Linked DNA regions of Mus musculus. The protein of the gene in region 3 purifies or fractionates together with the protein of the main gene of each other region. This does not show direct contact. Links are inferred from orthologs where the notes say so. Each region holds a gene or a part of one and is shown on either strand. Other genes may lie near its edges. The genes, in order: Tapbp, Canx and Tap1.

Evidence for each region.
Region 1: the proteins of Tap1 (region 3) and Tapbp purify together in Homo sapiens (co-immunoprecipitation; 6 studies listed by BioGRID and IntAct, with this or other methods). This does not show direct contact. The link is inferred for Mus musculus from reciprocal best matches to the Homo sapiens genes TAP1 and TAPBP.
Region 2: the proteins of Tap1 (region 3) and Canx purify together in Homo sapiens (affinity purification with mass spectrometry; 3 studies listed by BioGRID and IntAct, with this or other methods). This does not show direct contact. The link is inferred for Mus musculus from reciprocal best matches to the Homo sapiens genes TAP1 and CANX.

The regions. Positions count from the first base shown.
Region 1 is NC_000083.6:33,917,859-33,922,457, reverse strand, and holds the start of Tapbp (tapasin isoform 2 precursor), read right to left. Parts: upstream 2,981-4,599; 5' UTR 2,771-2,980; coding exon 2,734-2,770; intron 2,588-2,733; coding exon 2,408-2,587; intron 2,389-2,407; exon of another isoform or gene 2,210-2,388; coding exon 1,949-2,209; intron 1-1,948. Other genes in the region: Zbtb22 (zinc finger and BTB domain-containing protein 22), read right to left, coding at 3,659-4,599. UniProt on the Homo sapiens protein: Involved in the association of MHC class I with transporter associated with antigen processing (TAP) and in the assembly of MHC class I with peptide (peptide loading).
Region 2 is NC_000077.6:50,322,826-50,327,418, reverse strand, and holds the start of Canx (calnexin precursor), read left to right. Parts: upstream 1-1,745; 5' UTR 1,746-1,926; intron 1,927-4,593. UniProt on the Homo sapiens protein: Calcium-binding protein that interacts with newly synthesized monoglucosylated glycoproteins in the endoplasmic reticulum. It may act in assisting protein assembly and/or in the retention within the ER of unassembled protein subunits.
Region 3 is NC_000083.6:34,190,353-34,194,151, reverse strand, and holds part of Tap1 (antigen peptide transporter 1), read right to left. Parts: intron 3,590-3,799; coding exon 3,384-3,589; intron 2,824-3,383; coding exon 2,626-2,823; intron 1,316-2,625; coding exon 1,187-1,315; intron 1,025-1,186; coding exon 836-1,024; intron 668-835; coding exon 494-667; intron 272-493; coding exon 109-271; intron 1-108. UniProt on the Homo sapiens protein: ABC transporter associated with antigen processing. In complex with TAP2 mediates unidirectional translocation of peptide antigens from cytosol to endoplasmic reticulum (ER) for loading onto MHC class I (MHCI) molecules.

The DNA.
Region 1 (4,599 bases), about 270 kb from region 3:
GAGGAAAGTCCTCAACTGACCTGCCTGGGCTGCACAGGAAGGGCAAGGGAACCTGCTTAGGAGCTGACCCTGTGTCTCAACCAAAGGCTGAAGGAAGCTGGGGCTGAGGTTTGCTGGCAGAGAGCTTCCCTGACGCTGTCAGTGCCCTGGGAGCAGGAGGGGGAAGGTGACAGCAACAAATAAACCACTTTCATTATTTTCTCTCTTTTTAGAAGATTTTAAATGGTTTCTTTTAGGTGCACTGGTGTTTTGCCTGTGTGTATGTCTGTGAGAGTGCCAGCTCCCCTGAGACTGGAGTTACAGCGGTGAGCTGTCATGTAGGTGCTGTGAAGTGAACCCAGACCCTCTGGGTGATCAGCCAGTCCTCTTAACTGATGTGCCATCTACCCAACCCCCACCCCCACCCCCATTTTCATGATTTTCATATCAAGCAGAAGTGACCTGAAAGTGATCTGATGGGGAAGACAGGCCATAGTAACTTGATTTTACCCCAAGTCTATGCGAAGTAGTCTTCTGAGAGTCAGCTCTGGTCCAGAGCACTCTAGGACTCAGATAAGGGCCTAGAGAGGCTACTCAGCACTTTAAACCACAGACTGCACTTCTGAGGACCCAAGGTCGGTTCCCACGCCACATGGCTCACAACCAGCCGTAACCCAGCCCCAGAGGATCCAACAAGCTCTTTTGGATTCCCTGGGCAGCTGCACTCACACGCATATACCCATACACACACACACACACACATACAAAACTAACTCTGCAAATAACTAATACAGTCACTGAGGCACACACACCTGCCCTGCAGAAGCCACATGGGATTATCTTTGACAGATCTGAGAAGCACGGTGAGTCGACATCTGATCACCCGTCACTGAGCACGCAGGGCCACCCCATACACTGTGATTCCCAAGCCCAAGCTTTCAGTAGGTTCTTTGCTAGTTATCTGGAGGTCGATCTGGGGACCTCAGGGTCCTAACTTTTTCTTGGTGCTAATAACATTTATTGGACCAGCACATAGCTGCACAGGGCCTTGCTTCAATGCCACAAATAAAAGTAGCTGGCAAAATAGATCCTACTTCTTACAGTTGGAAAAAAACGACCCATAGGGCAAAAGGTAGCCAACACCATCCCACATGAAGACCAGCAGTGTGAGGGCAGGTGGTTTCAAGAGAACTACTGTCCCCACAAAGGGCCTGCACAGGGTGGAGCTAAGAGTAGAGGTGCCAGTGGAGTTTCAGACTGTCCCCATTTGGAGACTTCAAATGATGAAGGCAAAGGACTGAGTTCGGTGAGAATATTTGCATAAAAGCACCAGAAATGGGGAAAGCCAATGACGATTCTATCTACCTGTTAGGTGGTGTCCAGAGAGAAAAGCAAACATTCAGGACATTCAAGACAGATCTACCCCATAGAGTGCCCCTTCCCCTGTCCAGCACAGCAAAGTGGTGGGTGGATCTCTGGGAACTCAAGCGGCAGAACCGCACCTGTGCACAAGCCACCGTTCTGCCCACTAGAGGCCACTGTTGAGGCACTAAAGACCGTGGCCGAGAGCCTTGGCAAGAGGTTCCTTGCTGGGCTGACTGTCCCTAGTCTCTAGTGCGCTTTGAAGAGACTCAAAGTGTGATTTTTGAAACCTAGGATGGGTGCAGAAAAAATTTGGGTTTCGGGACGCCTAACCTTATGAGTTTCTCAAACTCTGGGATCTGGAAACCGACACCATGACCGCCTCTGCAAAGTCCCGCCCCCAAACCACAGTAGGTTTCAATTTTACTCTCAGCCTACAATGAAGGGTGAAGATAAAATCTAACCAACTCCCTTCCCTTAACAAAAGAATATATACTGATCCCCAGTTGAAGAAATGACCCATTCAAACCTCTTGGCGAGTCGCCGAACTGGCCCATCTAGATCCTTAAAAACTACCCATCCATCTCGCGCGCCTCTCGGCGGCTACCTGTTGCCATGGTGATGACGACAGGCTCCCGCAGAGGCTCCGGCTGTGGTCGCAGCAGGCTGGAGAGGCTGAAGAGAGTGCTGGATACGCTGACCAGCAGCCAATCCCCGTCCAGGGCCCGCGGGCAGTTCTGCTCCGGACTCAGACTTCTAGCCCACTTCGCCGAGGCAGGGAACGGGATGAAGCGGCTCATCTCGCAGTGTGGGGCGGAGGCGCCTGCGGGGTACCGCCTGAAGGCGGCCAGGAGCATTCCCGCCGGGTCTGCAGAACCGAAAAGGGTGTAACGGTAGCCCGGACTGGAAATGTGCTGACTACACACAGGCCGGAAGGCACAAACTAGCAAAGTAGTGAACGACTTAGAGAGCATCCAAACGTATTTACAAAAGGGAAAACTGAGGCCCAGCGTCCCTGCGTGAGCTAAGAGGAGGCGACAGATGCAGGTAAGTCCCGAAGACTCACCATCCACCTTGAAGTATAGCTTTGGGTCAAGATCTGGCCGGGGCGGCGGTCCCCTGGGTCCATGGCGCAGTAGCAGTGTGGCAGGTTTCTTAGACAGGCCACCCCCACCTGCATCCTCCACGAACCAGCACTCGATCGCCTCTGGTCCAGCCGAGACGACGGAGACGACGGTCGCTAGGCCTGGGGAGAGGGGCTCCGGTGACCAGAGGGCCATAGGATGTCCGGCGACCGGCGACCGGCCCGCCCCTTCAGACCCGCCATGGGACCTCCTCCCTCTCCTTCCCAGTGTGTCTATTCCTAAACAAGAAGAAATGGGGTCTGCTCACCCAGTGCCACAGCGACGAGCAGGAGCAGAGGCTTCATGGTGCTACGATCTCTCCTACCAAGTCTTTTCTTCCCCTTTCACTTTCATTTTCCTTCTAAGGCTGGGGTGAGGAACTGGAAATTCCCCGATCTGGTCAGGTGAGGGCGTGACTGCGCGTTGGAGGAACGCCGCCCACAGGGGCCAAACAGAGTTGCCGAAACCCTGTCTGTAGCTCTCCAGCCACTCCTCGCCCTGCACCCACCCCCTTGGCTCACCGGACTGCGCCAACTTTGAGCCCTTTATCAGCCTAGACTCCGCCCTCCTGCTGTGCCCTCTCCGCGCCACCTCCCTTAAAACCACACTCCCGCGTTCCCAGACCTGTGCCAGGTCCCAGCAAACAGAGGGGTGTTGGGAAGCCAAGTGAAGTGACCAATAAATATTTTAATCACCGTTAAAAATTAAGACCTATACTACGCGGCTCCCACCTTGTGTCCACCCACTTTCATGACAACCCAATTTGGGATCCCCATGGCAAGGGTGGGGTAGTACAGAAATAAGGGGCGTATCCTTCAAGAGGAGAAAGGACAATCGTTAAGACTCAAAGGCCTTGTCCCACAACACAAACACAGACTTCAGGCACAAACTAGCACAACCTGACTGTTGGCTCTGTGACTCTAGGATGCTCAAAAGGTCCCTTTTCCATTCCCCCACCTTGTTGGCACTACTCCGTGAAGGTGGGGCTCTGGTGTGCTCAGGGGAAAAGCAAAAACACAGCTTAGTTCCAGAGATCTCGAGGAAGGGGCTGAGGAATGGAACGGGCTGGCGACGGTGCAACCCACGCCCTTCTCTAGAATATATACAAGTCCACCGAGGTAAGGGAAGACTGTTTGGTGGGGGAAACCCCGGGAGCCATTGCTCTTAGACTAAGCTCCCCAATTGCCTGCTCTTCAGTGTGCTGCACCTCCACCCCCACTGAAATCCATCTCCACTTTGTGCACGCTGGGTGGGGACCAGACACGCCTATGGGACGGGGGCGTGGCCGAATTTGCCTCATCGCCACTGCCCCCACCCACTGTGGAAGACTCCCTCTTGGGTTGCAATGCTGGCCCAGAAGGTGTCCCGGGTCCAGGTCCAGGACCCGGTCCAGATCCGACCCCACCCACACCCATCCGGTGCCGACGCTCACAGTGTCCCCGGTGACGCATGAAACTGTCCCGCCACATGAACTTCTTGGCGCAGACACTGCATTCGTACGGCTTGAGGCCCGTGTGTGTCTTCATGTGCTCGGTCAGGTGGTGTTTCATCTTGAACTTTTTGTTGCACACGGGGCAGTCAAAGGGTCGCAGGTTGAGATGCATATTCACGTGCCGGTCCCGCATGCTCTTATGTGAGAAAGCCTTCCCACAGTGGCACAGAAAGATCTTATTCCCGTCGCTGTTGCCTGTCCCTCCAGGAGCCCCACCAGAGCCACTTGGTATGCCCAGCCCCACCGCAGAGGTGCCCCCGAGGGTCACTGCCCCGTGCTCAGCTGTGTTCCCTGGTGGCTGGCCTGGAGCCTGTGAAGAGGAGGATGGGAAAACCAAGATCTGGTTGCCCGGCACATCCAATGGAAGGAGGGGTCGTGGAGGGTGGGTGAGGGCATAGGAGGAAGGGGTGGGTCCTCCGGGGTCATCAAGCCCTGCCCCAGCGCCCCCACCCTCATAGGGGCCAAAGTCATTGGAGGATTCACAGAAGTTGACCTGCTCTTCCCCCTTGTCTGCAGGCTCGGTCAAGGTCCGAACATCACTGATACTGAGGGTAGCCTCGGGCTCTCCCCCTGCAGGAACCCCAGAGCCGCCTCCCATTTCTTCATCCTCATCATCCTCACAAGTCAACACCAGATCTTCCT
Region 2 (4,593 bases), on a different chromosome or scaffold from region 3:
AGAAAATTTTAGATAAGTAATAACTTGTGTTGGATGAATAAGCTATCTCTGATAAATAAGGCTCATCAATTCCTGAAGGTCTACTCAGGTTAACACTAACTGACTTGAAGGTATATGCCTAGTCTCTTTGTATTTGCTAACTTTGTTAAGGTTTAGCTGTTTGGATAAACTGAAACATAAAAGAAACTTGTAATATTCTATAATGACACACCATGAACAGACCAGAAGACTGACGTTCCCAGTCTCTTTGTGGACAGTATAGTTTAGAGCCATCATGTCCTCATTTTTATTAAAATTTCACATTTATTAATGTATGTATGTGAATTTGTATAGAGGTCAGAGTACAATTCAATCTCTTCTTTCACCACGTTGAGTTCTGGGAATTAAATTCAGGCCATCAGGTTTGGTGGCAAGTGTCCTTACCTGCTGAGCCATCTCCATTGCTCCCAAAACATTTTTAGTATATGGATCCCCCAAATACCTGAGAGTCACTTTTTTGCTCTTCTGTACAATTTTCTCATCTCAAGAACTTCCTTCCAACTCCACCTACAGAAAATTTGCATATCTATGAGGTCCAGTTCAAGTCTTTGTCAGTTTAGACAGAAAAGTTCTGCCTCAACTCCTCTACTCCTTCAGTACTGACATATTTTAACACCTCTCTGCAGAAGTCGATTTTTTGGCTTTCTTAAATTCAAGGCCATCTTGGGTAACACAAGCCAGAACTCAACCTAAGTAAATTTAGAATTTTTTTTTAAATTATGTGTACTGCCTGTGCCAAGCTGGCTTCAAATTTTCATTTTGAACATGCTCTTTATAAGGCAAATAAGGAAAGCAATTTCTCTTCTTTAAAATTAGGGAGAGAGAATTGGCGGTTACTAAATTGACCCAAACATCAAATCCTTACTGCCTTTCTCTTGGGGTGGCAGGAACAAAGCTCGTTTCACATGTAGAAAAACCTGCTGTTTCTTTCCACATTATTCAAAGCTTTGGGTCACCAAATACAACCCGAGGCGATCAGGATTCTCAAGGATCTAGCCAAATCCTTAGCCACTTCAATCTTACAGCGTTATCAGCATATTGAAAAACGAGTGGGTTATGAAAAGGCTATTTTAAATCTGCACATGGCATCACCCTTTTCCTCAACTCTGTCGCTTAGGTATGTCTGATTTTAACGACTAAAATCAGGAAACAGCACGGGCACATGGGAAAGTGACTCCATGTGGCTTGATTGTGAATCTAGGTAGTGTTTTGTTAGGTAAAGAGGTCTCAGGCTCCTGAGCTCAGGGCGATGACTCCGCAGGAAAGGCGGTGTCTGCTACCCAGAGGGATTTCACTCACTGCGCAAGCACACCGCCCGACCTCTCACCATTTGTGATGAAGGCCATAGGTCCCAGGCGGGGTTGGGACAGAGTTCCTAACTCAATGGGTCGGAAAGCCGTCTTCTGGATGTCCAACACACCCGCCCTGAGGGACTAGGGCGACCCACGCGAGAACGCGTGCCAGATCCGTCCGCCCTCCGCGGCGCGCGCCCGCCCGTTTGGTGACGGCCCGCCTTCCTCCTTCATACCCAATCAGCAACCACTTCCTGCCTCGCTATTGACCAATCACCACGCTCCACGAAGAATAGCCCTAGGGGGCGTATGGGAAGGCGCTTCGAGCGATGGCTGTATCTACCAATAAATTCTTAGATCTTGCGCAAAGGGGCGGGATCTGACGTTCGTTTTAGCCACTCAGGAACGAGGGGCGGACGCGGGGTTGGGCTTCGTGCGGTGGGGCTCGCTCGCGCGGCGGCCGTAGCCGAGGCCTCTTAGTTCTGCGGCACGTGACGGTCGGGCCGCCTCTGCCGCTGTCTCCACTGCAGCACGGGGCCGGGTGTGCGGGTGGGAGAAGGTGAGGGAGCCGCCAGTGGTCCCCGGGAGGCTCGAGGTGAGACGGGAAGCGTGTGCGGGGATCTCAGGCCCGGGACGAGCCTTGGGGGACTGGGCGAGCGGCGCCGTGGCGGAGGGGGTCGGGCGTGGCTGTAGGCTCGACGACTGAGGGGTCGGGCGGGCTTTCGAATGGCGCAGGCCTGGGCGGACGCGCAGGGCAGTGAGGAGAGCGGCCGGGTTAGAGAGGCTAGCCTGGGCAGCGCCGCCGGGGTCGGGAGGCGTGGCAGGTGTCCTGGGGTTTCCCTTGACCTCTGAGAAAGCTAACAACTTCCTACGGCTTTGCTTCTAGAGCTTTCTTAGGCCCTGGCCAGGCCCACCCAGAGGTGGGCTGAGTAATCCGGTACAGGTGTGGTATTAGAATTCGGCCTAGTAGGTAGCCCAAATAGCAGGGAAAGGTGAAGTAAATCCAGAGATAAGCGTTACAGATTAGAAAATAACTTGCCCAAAGGGAAGACTGGACCATAGCATCCTGATGAGGGAGTAGAATGTACTAGAACGTGTACCGCTTGAGAAACTTAAGGCTTAACTATTAAAGCACCTGCCTATTCGGTGGTGGATAGATAGTAATCCAGTGTGGGTGTTCACAGGACCTTAAGAGCAGGAGATACAAGCGAAAGTTCAGTTAGTGAGGGGAGGAAACTGAGGCCTAGAAGTTTGAAATGACTGGCCCAAGGTCATACAGGTAGTTCTAGTCATCCAGTTGGGATTGTAACTGAGCACTAGACCGTTTGGGTTAAAAGTCCTGGTTCAAGCACCTAACTGCAATTAATCGGGGGAGTGGGAATTTGGGAGATTTTTTTTTTCTACTTTAGGGCTCAGTCCCCAGGAGTAGACAGAATGACTGATGGGCCTTGTATTGAATTCCGAGGGAATGGGAATGAGAAATTGGATGTGTAGTAAAGGTTCAGTGGGTAGGAATCGAACTGGCTTCTTGAAATCCGAATGCCTTGGTCATTACACTGATACACTAATGTTTATATTGAAGGCCTGTGTGCCAAGACCTGAGGACACATTGATGACACTTTGTGTATTAACTGCTGGTCATGACACTAGTGATTGCATTGCTAGTTGTGTGAAGTTAAACCAAACTGAATACTAAAAGCTTGGCAAAGTTGAGCTACAGTCTCTTTACCCTTCAGAAATGGAAGAATCTGCCTGTTTTTTAAAAATAATTTGCCCTCCCACCCCTTTAAAGGGGGACAAGTTGGGTTACCTTAAAAATCTTTGTATATTTTCCAGTAACCTTTGAAAGGGCATGAACAGAATCAATTCTCATGTTGTACTTATACTGTAATTAAGCTTACAGGCCAGGCAGGGGTACACTACAGGTGAGCCAGGCCCTGAAGAACTGTATATAGTAGTGAGCCATTCACAATAGGAGTTTACCGAACTGTCTGTGAATGGGTGTCACCTCCTTGCTATCTTAACTCAACAGTGCAATTAACTCCTTAATCTTTCAAGAGCCACAAGGCATGTGCATCTTGACAACACACCTTGCATCCTTGTCCTGCAGAGGTCACTTGCCCAGTAAGAGAACTTTGAGGGAGTAGAGTGGCAGTTGCTAAGAATAACTGCAGAAGACTGTCCAGCATGATAACTTTAATTCCTATCCTTTAAAAATGGGAATGAAAGAAAGAAAGAAAGAAAGAAATGGGGATGAGTGTGCTACTTGCTTTGCCTTTGAGAGGGCAGATACTAAGAAACTGTTTGGGAAAGTGTAAGGAAATGGACAAATAGTATTGGCAGCTCATAAAAAGTCCTAAGAAGTAATTAAAGTGCCAAAGATAGTTGTAGTCTGTATAGCTTACTGTAAAACTCATTAGGAAAATGCTTGTTAAATGCTTTGTTATTGCTACAAATGCTAGGAAAGAATTTTTAGGCTTATTTAATTTTCTGTGTATGTGTGTTTTGCCTGCATGTATGTCTGTGTACCATGTGTGTGAGACCCATCATATTGGTGCTGGGAATCAAACCTGGGTCCTCTGGAAGAGCAGCAACTATGTCTTCAGCCCTGAAATTTTTCTTTTTTCTTTTTTTTTTTTTTTAAGGAATCTAGACAATTTTTATATTGTATTCTTGTCTTTAAAAAAAATCATTTTAAGATTTATTTAGGGCTGGAGAGATATCTCATCGGTTGGGGGCACTGGCTGTTCTTCCAGAGGTCCTGAGTTCAATTCCCAGGAACCACATGGTGGCTCACAGTCATCTCTAATGAGAGCCGATGCCCTCTTCCGGTGTGTCTGAGGACAGTGTACTCATATACATGAAATAAATCTTTAATATGTGTGTGTGTACTATGTACATATATATATATATTTAAAAATATGTGTATGTTGGTGTGAATATATATGCAATATATTATTCATGGGGGCCAGTAAAGGGCATTATATTCTCTAGAGTTGGAATTACAAACAGTTGTAAGCTGCCCAACTGGGAATTCAACTCTTAATCACTGAGCCATCTCTCCATCCTGCGTATTCACATCTTAAAGTGAATTAATAGGAAAAAGTTTCTTTTAAAAAAAATCACTTATTAGCTGGGTGGTGTGGTGGTGGCTCACCTTTGATCCCAGCATGAGGGAAGCAGAGGCAGATTTATCCCTGACTTCAAGACCACCCTGGTCTACAGAGTGAGTTCCAGGACAGCCAGGGCTACAACAGAGAAA
Region 3 (3,799 bases):
TGAGGATGTGAATCTTAGAGTTTCAACTACAAATTGACATCCAAGGGACAAGAGGGATTGAATAATAAAGGCAGGATTGTTGGAATCTGGATGGGAGAGTGCAGATACCTGTGTCATAGCCCTGAGGGAACCCAGAGATGAAATCGTGGGCTCCAGACTCCACGGCCACAGCTGTGATTTCCTCCATGGTTGGAGTCCGGTTCAGGCCATACGCAATATTTTCTCGAAAGCTTCTTCCAAATAGCAGCGGCTCTTGTCCCACTGCGGCCACCTGAGGTCAAATGTGAAGAGCCACAGGCAAGAAACACCAGTGTTATTGTCCAGGGACTGAAGATTCACAATCTTGTGCATACCATACAGTCACGTGACTTCTGTCCACAGCCCCGACTCTGCCCATGGCTGCCTGCATCCCCTAACTCTCTGCAAGAGTTTTCGTGGAGAATTGTCTCTTGGCTTGATCTCCTCCCCTCCCCCACACCTCCTTCTTGCTCACCTGAGTGTGCAGGTAATGGTGATCATACTGGACCAGGCACTGGCCATCCAGCAGCAGCTGGCCCCCGGTGGGCTGGTACAGGTTCTGCAGCAGGGCAGCCACGGTGCTCTTCCCTGATCCATTGGGTCCCACCAACGCTGTCACCGTTCCAGGATGCAGGGTGAACGTCAGCCCCTGGAGGCCAGAGAAGCTCGTGGCAAGGAGGAGGAGGAGGAGAAGGAGGGAGAGGAGGAGAAGGAAGAAGAAGAAGAAGAAGAAGAAGAAGAAGAAGAAGAAGAAGAAGAAGAAGAAGAAGAAGAAGAAGAAGAAGAAGGAGGCATAAAAGGGATGGGTAGACAGTACCTGAAGCACCTGGACTTTGGGCTGGTTTGGGTAGGCAAAAGAGACATCTTGGAACTCCACAAGGCCTTTCATGTTTGAGGGTGCCAACGAGCCACTGAGTGGAGAGCAAGGAGTCCGGTCCAAGTATTCGAATATTTTCTCTGAGGAGCCCACAGCCTTCTGCATGGAGGGGTAGAGGGAGAGCAGGACCTGCATTGCAGAGCGGGGTGTGTGTGAGCCTGGGATGGACCACGAAAGCAAGTGAGCCGTCTAACCTGCTTGACAGCATTCAGGGAACAGGCGGAGGATGCGCAAAGCGGCAGAGAAGGCAATGGACAGGCTGAGACCGCCGACTGCGGGGGCGGGGCTCACCTGAACAGCCTGGGTGAACTGAAGCTGGTAGAGAACGAATGAGACAAGGTTGCCGCTGCTGACAGCCCCTCTGATCACCAGCTGCCCGCCCAGGTACAGAATTCCCACCTTCAGCAGCATTCCCGAGACCTACAGGGAAACCATGGGATGAAACGAACTGCAATGATCACATGGAAGGTCTTTTCTCCCAGACACGTGAGATTAGGGGGAAGGCGGGGTCAATGGTCAGACTCAAACACAGCTCACATCTTCCATGTCCTCCTCCTCATCGCTGCCGGCTCCTTGTTTCAGGAGCATTTGACACTTTTTAAAAAGATTTATTTTTATAGTTCTAAATTATGTCTGTGTGTCTGTCTGTCTGTCTGTCTGTCTGTCTGTCTGTCTGCGGGTACAGGCATATGAGTGTAGGCACCCACAGAGGTCAGAAGAGGGCATCAGAACCCCTAGAGCTACAGCCGCAGGCAGTTGTGAGCTGCCCTTCATAAGTGCCGGTCACCTGGAAGAGCAGTCTGCATCCTTAACAGCTGAACCATGTCCACCCTGTATTACAAAGCTAAACACAGCGGCTCACATCACGAGCCTCTGTATAGGAGATTATGTTATTATGTTATACCTTTCTTGCTGCTGTTTAATATTACTTTTTTACTACATTTGTTTGTTTGTTTGTTTGTTTGTTTACTTATTTTTGTATGTGAGTAGGCACCACAGTGCACCTTGTGGAGGTGAGAGGACAACTTTCAGGAGTCAGTTCTCCTGTCCTCCATATGGGTTCCTGAGATGGATCTCAGGTCACCAGGCTCAGCAGCACGACAGCAGGCACCTTTACCTACTGAGTCATCTCACTCCCCAATACCCTTTAATGAGACAAGTCTCACATCATAGCTCATGATGGCTGGAAACTCACAGCAATCCTCCTGCCTCAGCATGAGTCCTGGGATTACAGATGTGAACCACCACATCAGGTTTTACTCCCATTTTTCAAATCAGGGCAACAGCCTCAGAAAAAGGTAACATGTGCTGGATACAGAACTGGTGGGTGGCAGGAAGGATCCTGGAATCTCGGTTACAGCTTTAGTTCCAGCTGCCCCTGGCCGCTGGCCTCTGGCACTTCTCGTGGCTCCCACTAGCTTGCCCACACAGTGCCAACATGAAGCGCACACCGTGCAGGAAATGTGTGGCTTTCTGAGAAGCCAAGGAAGTGCCGGAGTTGGGAGAGTGGTATCTCCTTAACACACAGGTCAAGTGGGCTTTGTGTGCCAATGTGGAAGGCTGATTCTTAACACTACAAAACACTGAGAGAATTAAGGGCAGAGTCCTTAATTGAGTAATCAAGAGCCGAAGCCAATCACTTCCCACTGGAGGAGGAGCAGGGGGGTTGGAAAACAGCAGAATCAAGACATGTTCACACAAAGGATGGGATATCCACCTCCTGTACTCACACTCGTGGTCCAGACTTCAGCCACGTAAGCCAAGGCCTCCTTCTTGTTTAGAGTCTTCATTTCTTCCAACTTCTGCCTGAACTTCTGGGCCTCACCCTCCTCGTTGGCAAAGCTCCGCACAGTAGGCATCGCCGATAAGGCCTCAAGGGCCACCTGCGTGGACTTTGCTAGAGACTCCTGCACCTTCACTGCCAGTGACTATGGAAGACAAGGACCAGAGACATCACACGGGGTGCAAATGAGAGAGAATATGGACACCTAGGTTAGCTGCGTGGAGATTATAGAGTCAAGAGTCAGAGGGACAGAGGGAAGAGAAAGGTCTACAGCCATACTTCTAGGTAGAAGGGGCGTGGAGGAAATGAATCCAGTTTTTGTAAGATTTATTTTATCGTGTATGTGTGTGCATCATGTGTATAGATCTCCATGGAGACCAGAAGAGGGAGTCAGATCCCCTGAAGCTGGAACTACAGACCACAGAGAACTAACTGCTTAGTGTGCACTGGGAATCAAACTCAGGTCCTCTGAGGAACAGTCAGCACTCTTAACCCCGAGCCGTCTCTCCAGCCTGAGAGCCTATTCTTTAAGGACAGATTGTGGCCAGAAGTTAGACAAGAAGGCAGAGTACAGAGATGCAGGTGCAGGGCAGTGCGGGGTCAGAGGTCACAGGTCAGAGGTTCAGGATGATGGAGGACTGGAAAGCCACACTGAAAGCAGTCTAGGAGAAACTAAATGTAGGAGCTGAGGATCTGGGGACGTACCTGATGCACTTTTCCCAGCTTCTTAGGCAAAAGAAAAAGCAGGGGCAGGTTGATCAGGGTGACCAGAGTGAGGTACGGTGACCCCCAAAACATGAACACCAAGAGACACAGGGCTCGCCCCAGGTACCACAGCAGCAGGCTCAGCGTGCCACTAATGGACTCGCACACGTTGGCTGTGTCCTCAGTCACCCGAGATGTGATGGAACCTGCCCAGATTGAGAAGAGAGACAGTGAGCAAGCGGTTCACAGAGACAAGAGGAGCTGACAGTGGGGGCCAGGGTGGGCCCGTCAGCACAGCATCCTGAGGCGGGTAACGGGTAGGAGACTGGGGAGGCGCAGGAACTTCAATGCAGGGGGAAAAGAAAGGAAAGATCTGGTTAGGCCTGTGCTTGCCAGTAAAGGAGTTGTCGCTGGGT